Xenopus tropicalis: one gene and its partner. The protein of the gene in region 1 purifies or fractionates together with the protein of each later gene. This does not show direct contact. Links are inferred from orthologs where the notes say so. Each region holds a gene or a part of one and is shown on either strand. Other genes may lie near its edges.

What was found.
Region 2: the proteins of tyrosine-protein kinase STYK1-like (region 1) and tmem259 purify together in Homo sapiens (affinity purification with mass spectrometry; 3 studies listed by BioGRID and IntAct, with this or other methods). This does not show direct contact. The link is inferred for Xenopus tropicalis from reciprocal best matches to the Homo sapiens genes STYK1 and TMEM259.

What each region holds. Positions count from the first base shown.
Region 1 is NC_030683.2:133,063,172-133,066,993, forward strand, and holds part of tyrosine-protein kinase STYK1-like, read left to right. Parts: intron 1-43; coding exon 44-181; intron 182-644; coding exon 645-869; intron 870-2,977; coding exon 2,978-3,159; intron 3,160-3,470; coding exon 3,471-3,554; intron 3,555-3,822. UniProt on the Homo sapiens protein: Probable tyrosine protein-kinase, which has strong transforming capabilities on a variety of cell lines. When overexpressed, it can also induce tumor cell invasion as well as metastasis in distant organs.
Region 2 is NC_030677.2:100,353,869-100,358,451, forward strand, and holds the start of tmem259 (membralin), read left to right. Parts: upstream 1-1,740; 5' UTR 1,741-1,871; intron 1,872-2,160; 5' UTR 2,161-2,192; coding exon 2,193-2,390; intron 2,391-4,583. UniProt on the Homo sapiens protein: May have a role in the ERAD pathway required for clearance of misfolded proteins in the endoplasmic reticulum (ER). Promotes survival of motor neurons, probably by protecting against ER stress.

The DNA of each region.
Region 1 (3,822 bases):
GTGTTCCGGATCATTGGTTCTGTAACCAGCTCTTCTGTTCCAGATGAGGATGAGTGGCAGAACTCAGTGATTATCATTCCGGTTCTGCTCACGGCTCCAACTCTGCTGGTGGTTCTGGTTATTCTGTGGAAATCAATTCGGAACCGGAGGAAGAAAATACATTGTGATTCTAGAACCCCAGGTATGAAGGTAACACTTTGCACTCACTCATTATACTCACACTTACACTCACACACTCACTCATTATACTCACACTTACACTCACTCACTCATTATACTCACACTTACACTCACACACTCATTATACTCACACTTACACTCACTCACTCATTATACTTACACTCACACACTCATTATACTCACACTCACACACTCACTCATTATACTCACACTTACACTCACACACTCACTCACTCATTATACTCACACTCACTCATTACACTCACTCACTCACTCACTCACTCACACACTTACACACACACTCGCTCACACACTCACTCTCACGCACACGCTCACTCTCACACACTTACTCACACACTCTTACACACACACTCGCTCATACACTCACTCATGCACTCACTCATTCTCACACACTCACTCTCACACACTGTATGGGCAGTAGTGGAGTCAGGATCTGTTTCCAGCAGGTGAGGGCTATGGAGAATGGGCCGTCAATGCTGCCGCAGTCTATGAGAATACTCTCGGGTTCCCGGACACTGAACTGCAGAGGTGGGAGCTGCCAGATGGGTGGACAATCCAGGATGTGGTTAAAATTTGCCCCGGTCAGTTTGGGCGCATCAGTGGCGCGTGTCTGTATGAACCGGGGGAACCCAATGTCAGGCACAGGGTCATCATCAAGGAGCTTTCAGGTGAGTGTAAAGGGTAAATAACCAACAAGCAGGGTAGGAGATACCAGTCCAGTAGAACCTTCACCCACTCTCAGTCTCTGTAGAACCTTTATCCACTGTCAGTCTCTGTAGAACCTTCACCCACTGTCAGTCTCTGTAGAACCTTCACCCACTGTCAGTCTCTGTAGAACCTTCACCCACTGTCAGTCTCTGTAGAACCTTCACCCACTGTCAGTCTCTGTAGAACCTTCACCCACTGTCAGTCTCTGTAGAACCTTCACCCACTGTCAGTCTCTGTAGAACCTTCACCCACTGTCAGTCTCTGTAGAACCTTCACCCACTGTCAGTCTCTGTAGAACCTTCACCCACTGTCAGTCTCTGTAGAACCTTCACCCACTGTCAGTCTCTGTAGAACCTTCACCCATTGTCAGTCTCTGTAGAACCTTCACCCATTGTCAGTCTCTGTAGAACCTTCACCCACTGTCAGTCTCTGAAGAACCTTCACCCACTGTCAGTCTCTGTAGAACCTTCACCCACTGTCAGTCTCTGTAGAACCTTCACCCACTGTCAGTCTCTGTAGAACCTTCATCCACTGTCAGTCTCTGTAGAACCTTCATCCACTGTCAGTCTCTGTAGAACCTTCATCCACTGTCAGTCTCTGTAGAACCTTCACCCACTGTCAGTCTCTGTAGAACCTTCACCCACTGTCAGTCTCTGTAGAACCTTCACCCACTGTCAGTCTCTGTAGAACCTTCATCCACTGTCAGTCTCTGTAGAACCTTCATCCACTGTCAGTCTCTGTAGAACCTTCATCCACTGTCAGTCTCTGTAGAACCTTCATCCACTGTCAGTCTCTGTAGAACCTTCACTCACTGCCAGTCTCTGTAGAACCTTCACCCACTGTCAGTCTCTGTAGAACCTTCATCCACTGCCAGTCTCTGTAGAACCTTCATCCACTGTCAGTCTCTGTAGAACCATCATCCACTGTCAGTCTCTGTAGAACCTTCACCCACTGTCAGTCTCTGTAGAACCTTCACCCACTGTCAGTCTCTGTAGAACCTTCACCCACTGTCAGTCTCTGTAGAACCTTCTCTCACTGTCAGTCTCTGTAGAACCTTCACCCACTGTCAGTCTCTGTAGAACCTTCATCCACTGTCAGTCTCTGTAGAACCTTCACCCACTGTCAATCTCTGTAGAACCTTCACTCACTGCCAGTCTCTGTAGAACCTTCATCCACTGTCAGTGTCTCTAGAACCTTCACCCACTGTCAGTCTCTGTAGAACCTTCTCTCACTGTCAGTCTCTGTAGAACCTTCACCCACTGTCAATCTCTGTAGAACCTTCATCCACTGTCAGTGTCTCTAGAACCTTCACCCACTGTCAGTCTCTGTAGAACCTTCACCCACTGTCAGTCTCTGTAGAACCTTCACCCACTGTCAGTCTCTGTAGAACCTTCACCCACTGTCAGTCTCTGTAGAACCTTCACCCACTGTCAGTCTCTGTAGAACCTTCATCCACTGTCAGTCTCTGTAGAACCTTCACCCACTGTCAGTCTCTGTAGAACCTTCACCCACTGTCAATCTCTGTAGAACCTTCACTCACTGCCAGTCTCTGTAGAACCTTCACCCACTGTCAGTCTCTGTAGAACCTTCATCCACTGCCAGTCTCTGTAGAACCTTCACCTACTGTCAGTCTCTGTAGAACCTTCACCCACTGTCAATCTCTGTAGAACCTTCACTCACTGCCAGTCTCTGTAGAACCTTCACCCACTGTCAGTCTCTGTAGAACCTTCATCCACTGCCAGTCTCTGTAGAACCTTCACCCACTGTCAGTCTCTGTAGAACCTTCACCCACTGTCAGTCTCTGTAGAACCTTCACCCACTGTCAGTCTCTGTAGAACCTTCACCCACTGTCAGTCTCTGTAGAACCTTCATTCACTGTCAGTCTCTGTAGAACCTTCACCCACTGTCAGTCTCTGTAGAACCTTCATCCACTGTCAGTCTCTGTAGAACCTTCACCCACTGTCAGTCTCTGTAGAACCTTCACCCACTGTCAGTCTCTGTAGAACCTTCACCCACTGTCAGTCTCTGTAGAACCTTTATCCTCTTGTATCTTGGTTCTGTCCCAAAGAGAACTGCAGTCCCGGAGAAGCTCAGGATTTTATTGATCTCATCCGGTTTTACTCTCGGGTCTGTAACCACGACAACCTGCTGAAAATGTATTGGTGTAGAACCTCCTTGAGCCCAGTGTGCATCATCCTGAAAGCCATGAACCTTGGGAATCTGCTTCACTTTCTCTGGAGATCCCGTGAGGTACCCAGACCGACTCCCCCAAATACCGACTCCCCCAAATACCGACTCCCCCAAATACCGACTCCCCCAAATATATTCCCTAAAACATGTAGGTATTTTGGGATGTGGGTTAATGTAGTAACTGCCCTGTTGGGGTACATGCTGAATGGATCCACTCATGGGCAATTAAAGGGCCACATTGTACCCCCAGGTGAGTCACAGATACCCACAATGCCACACAGGGCCCACAATATACCAGGTTTGGGAAATGTATGTGCGTATGTAGTTGTGGGGGTCATTTTCCTTTACATTCTCCATTTCACCCCCCACAGGGCAACCTCGCTGCTAAGGATCCTCTCTATAATATCACCGAGAAGAAGGTCTACTCAATGGCTTCCCAAGTGGCAAGTGGCCTGGTAGGTATTGAGCCAATAGCCTTTACCCAGCCCCCCAGTGGGCTCCTTGGGGCGGCCAATAGATACAACGTGGGCACCTTGCACTTCCTGTTTGGCACCTACAGGTGGCGCTACACATACATGTGAATCAAGTTCTTACCTTCTAAATAATGTTTTTATGGAGACACATTGACCCCCCTCAGTAAGGAACATGTGGGGGGCGGGGCTAGCAGTGATTGGCATGGATGTGGGCAACCAGTTTCTGCGGGCAAGTGCCAGCGATGTGAAG
Region 2 (4,583 bases), on another chromosome or scaffold:
TTTTAGTTATCCAATATGTCTCCTTTAATCAAGCCTATATTTATGGTTCCATTCTTATGTAACAGTTTCTGAGCTAAGAGGCATATTGTTGGTATTTTAACAAAAATATGTATCTGGTATAAGGATAGTTAGAATTATTTATTATGGAATCAGTACAAATAATATTTAATATTGATTGCTTAATGTAAGGGGTCTAAATTACAAATACAAAATAATATAAATATATAAATGTATATTTAAAAGGGCTCATCTGCTCTGTACTATAATATGCATCTCATCACCAACAGAGTTAGATGGTATCATAAAAGATAAAAATAGTGGGTAATGTATTTAGTTGGCCAGTTACTGTCAATAAAATTTGCTCCTCCAAAGACTCTTTTAAAAATTGGAAATCAGGTACTGATGATCTACCAGCAATACTGGCTTCGTTCTCCATAGTACACACTAAGGGAGGTAGCACACGACGAGTTTACTTGCCCCCGATAAATCTTCGCTATTGTGGGTGACTAATCTCGAAATGCCATCCCACAGACAAGAATGTAACAATACCTGGTAGTCTAGTGGGGCGGCGGGGACGCCCGCCGCCTCCTCCGGTGCGGGGACGCCCACCGTTGTCTTCTCGCTCTGCCGTTTATGCGCATGCGCACTCCTGAAGCCTGTAGTCGTCCAAAGTTTCCGACCGAAACACTACTTTTTTTAAAGCATTTCCTTTATATTTAGATGAGTACAATTTGTTGGCACGATATTGTTTTTCACACGTCCCTTTTAAACATAAAATCTCTGCTGCTACAGTAGTAGTGGATCTAGTGGCTGTGTGTATTGTTGGCAAACAGGAATAAGGTGACTTGTTCACTGCACAAATCAAAGCTTTGAGCAGAGAAAAAATGTTTATTACTTTTTGGTCAAATATTTGGAGCGAAAGCAAGTATTGCCAGCAGTCTCGGGCTGGCCCACAGGGATACCAGGAAAATTCCCGGTGGGCCCAGGTGCCAGTGGGCCCCCCAGCTTCTAGCTATTTGGCCTAATTCATGGTCATTGCTTATTTTTCTATGGGAACAAAGCAACTAAATATATAGAATAGATTATAGTATGTAAAGATAAAAAACACTATGAAAATATAGAGACTGAGTAAGAAATGGGTGAAAAATAGTTTGGAGAGCGTGGGCCCATGGGCTAAGGTTTTCTGGTGGGCCCCTGGCATCCCAGTCCAACACTGATTGCCAGTAAACACCAGAGAAAAAATAAAATGCAAGTCAAAGAAAAAAAAAAAGATTATTTTTTTTGCATCCTGGCACAAGGCGATTAACAAATGGATTTGTTGCAATGGTTTTGTTTTTGGTGTTTACATGTATTTGCCCTGGAAAAGAAGATAATGTGAGCGCAGCAAAAAAACCCAAAAAACAGTAAGTATATTTTGCTCTCAAAAAAGTTTTTTTTTAACTTTCTGATAGAAGATACTGGGGGCAAAACAAAAAGACTTCTGATAAACTATTGATACGTATAACTTGTAAGAGCGGAAGAGAAAATAAAAATTGTGAACCACCGGCCCCCTATTGCTTGAGCCAGCACAGCGCATAGCGCCTTACTGTTTGTAGTTGCCAGACACTAAACCACCTCGACCTAGCCTGTCACTCCCCCACGGAGACAACGTATAGCGTCCGTACGCTTATATATACGTTCACCGTGACGTCACCGTTATCGCGAGATGAGGCTTGTGACGTCTGGATTAGCTGTCCGGCAGGAGTCAAGGAGCTAGACGTTAACGGCGCTGCGGGACTTTTAAACAGCGAACCGGGACTGCGGACTTTGCTAAGAAGACCGGGATTGTCCCGGCAAAAGTGGGACTTTTGGGCGGTATGCGATAAAGTACAGTAAGTATAACTGTACTGCCCCTAAATGGCCTTAGCACAGGTTTATAAACGCATGTCCTTGTCTTTAGCCATAGAAAATAAGTCAATACACTGTGATATCCTTGTGCAGCCATATGGAAAGAAATAAGTCTACCCTGCACCCACATTGATAATCTCACCGCACATTAACATTGATGTCTGTGCGTTTTATTTATAAATATATCCGTCTAGGTTACGTGTACACATACACCATGTGTGTTTATTATTGCTTGGACATATGTGATAAGGATGACTTTTGCTTTGTGTACAGGCACCTTTGCTTACCCCCAAACCATCATCAAGATGTCTGAGAACCAGGGTAATATTCCTCTCAATAACGCTAATGGCAACCGTGTTCGAACTCCTAACCTGAATCAGAATCCCTTGATTAATGTTCGAGATCGTCTCTTCCATGCATTGTTCTTCAAGATGGCTGTGACCTACGCAAGACTGTTCCCCCCTTCCTTTCGCAGAATATTTGAGTTCTTTGTACTTCTGAAGGTAATAAGAAAGGCGTTTTGGTTTTTTTTTTTCCTTGGTGACAAAACTACTGTGACAGTGTGAAAAGTTCTCCTTGTATCTGCTTGGGGTTTCTTCCATGTACTCTACCATCTCCCACACTTTGATAACATACAGGCAGGTTAATTGGATTCCGATAAAACTGACCCTAGTTTGTGTGAATGTGGTAGCGACCCTAGATTGCAAGCTTCTCTGGGGCAGGGACTAATGTAAATGGTGGTTACACTTTTCCACAGCATTTCAGAGGTTATCAGTGCTGTATAAATGCAATCAAAGTAGTGGCCCTTTTGTTTGATATATCGCTTTTCTTTCTAACATGTATTTTTGTCATGTAAATTGTTAAGTCATATAAAGGTATGGGATCCCTTATCCGGAAACCCATTATCCAGAAAGCCCCGAATTACGGAATGCCCGTCTCCCATAGACTCCATTTTAATCAAATAATTCAAAATTTTAAAACTGATATCCTTTTTCTCTGTAGTAATAAAACAGTATCTTGTACTTGATCCCAACTAAGATATAAATAATCCTTATTGGATGTAAAACAATCACATAGGGTAAAATTAATGTTTTATTTGTTCTTTAGTAGACTTAAGGTATGGAGATCCAAATTACAGAAAGACCCCTTATCTGGAATACCCTTGGTCCCGAGCATTCTGGATAATGGGTGCTATACCTGTATACTTTTTAGAGTTCCATTGTTTTAGAAATTCGGATAGGCCATATATCTCTTATAATATTAATATCAGTGTTACCTTTTGGAGTTTTTCTGTTAAAGTCACAAGTTTTTTCCAACAGGGCTACTGTGAGATTAAATACATTTTGTATTGTTTTTGGCCTATATGCACAGGCTTTTGGTCTAGAGCAGAGAAGGCAAATGGTGGTGCACTTTCTTGCAGAAAAATTGAGAACTTAGTGGCCTCTCTTTTGTAAATTTTCATTTATACCACTTTACATGCATTAGATAGAGCCTTCTTTCTTTGTATAAAGTTAATGCTATTGATAAATCAAACAGTACCCTTAACAACTCATAATATAAAAGCATTCTCGTGACCCTTTACGAATATCCAAGCTTTGTGACATCTTGGGGGAGATTAAACAAATTTAATTTGAAGGGATGCTATAATTCCTGTTCTATCTTATTATTTACTTTTCATCTGTATGTACTTCTGATAAGGGGTAAGCGCTGAGCAGTTTTCAGTTACTAAATATATTTTGTTTTTGTGAAATGACTAAGGTCAATATGAAATGAGACTTTTTTTTGTCTGAAAATGTGCTTCTATTGTTGAAACAAAATGCCTAAAAATACACTGCAAACAATGTCAGTCGCCAAGAGGCCAAGAACTCCTAGATAAACTACTAACAGGTTCTAAACTGTTCAATGGGCTTAATTATAGCAACCAATCAGATCTTTGCTTTTGCATTTTTAGCTCTGACCATTGACCTTTTATCCAGATGGATCTGAAAGTTTTTGTAGGTCTGCCAAATTTCTTTTCTTTTTGCCAATAAAAATTAGGAATAAAATAAATATTTTGCTAGGGTAAGCCAACTATCATGGAAAAATATAAGGTCAATATATAGCTTTCTTTAGGCCTCAGGGGCATATAGGAATTGGAGTTCAGTTTAGCAGATTTATATTATAGACACCAGAAATTCTTGTTGGTCTGCTCTGACAAAATGTGAAAAAAAGTAATGTACTTTCTCACTTAGTGTTTAAAGGGGTGGTTTACCTTTTAAGTTAACTTTTAGTATGTTATAGAGCGGCCACTTCAGAGCAACTTTTCAATTGGTCTTCATTATTTATTATGTATAGTTTTTTAATTATTTGTCTCCTACTTCTAACTCTTTGCAGATTTTAAACAGGGGTCACTGATCCCCACAGCCAAAAAACTATTGCTTTGTGAAACTTCAGTTTAATTGTTATTGCTACTTTTTTAGTATTTATTTTTCTATTCAAGTCCTCTCCTAGTCTCCTTAGTCTTTCATTCATTCAAACCACACCCTGGTTGCTAAGGTAATTTCAATTGTAGCAACCAAATAGCTGCTAAAACTCCAAACAGGGCTGCTAAGCAAAAACTGAAATAATTAAACTACAAATAATAAAAAATAACTAACAGTTACTAAAAGATAACTCAAAGTTGAACAGCCCCTTTAAGTAGGCTAGATATTGTGATA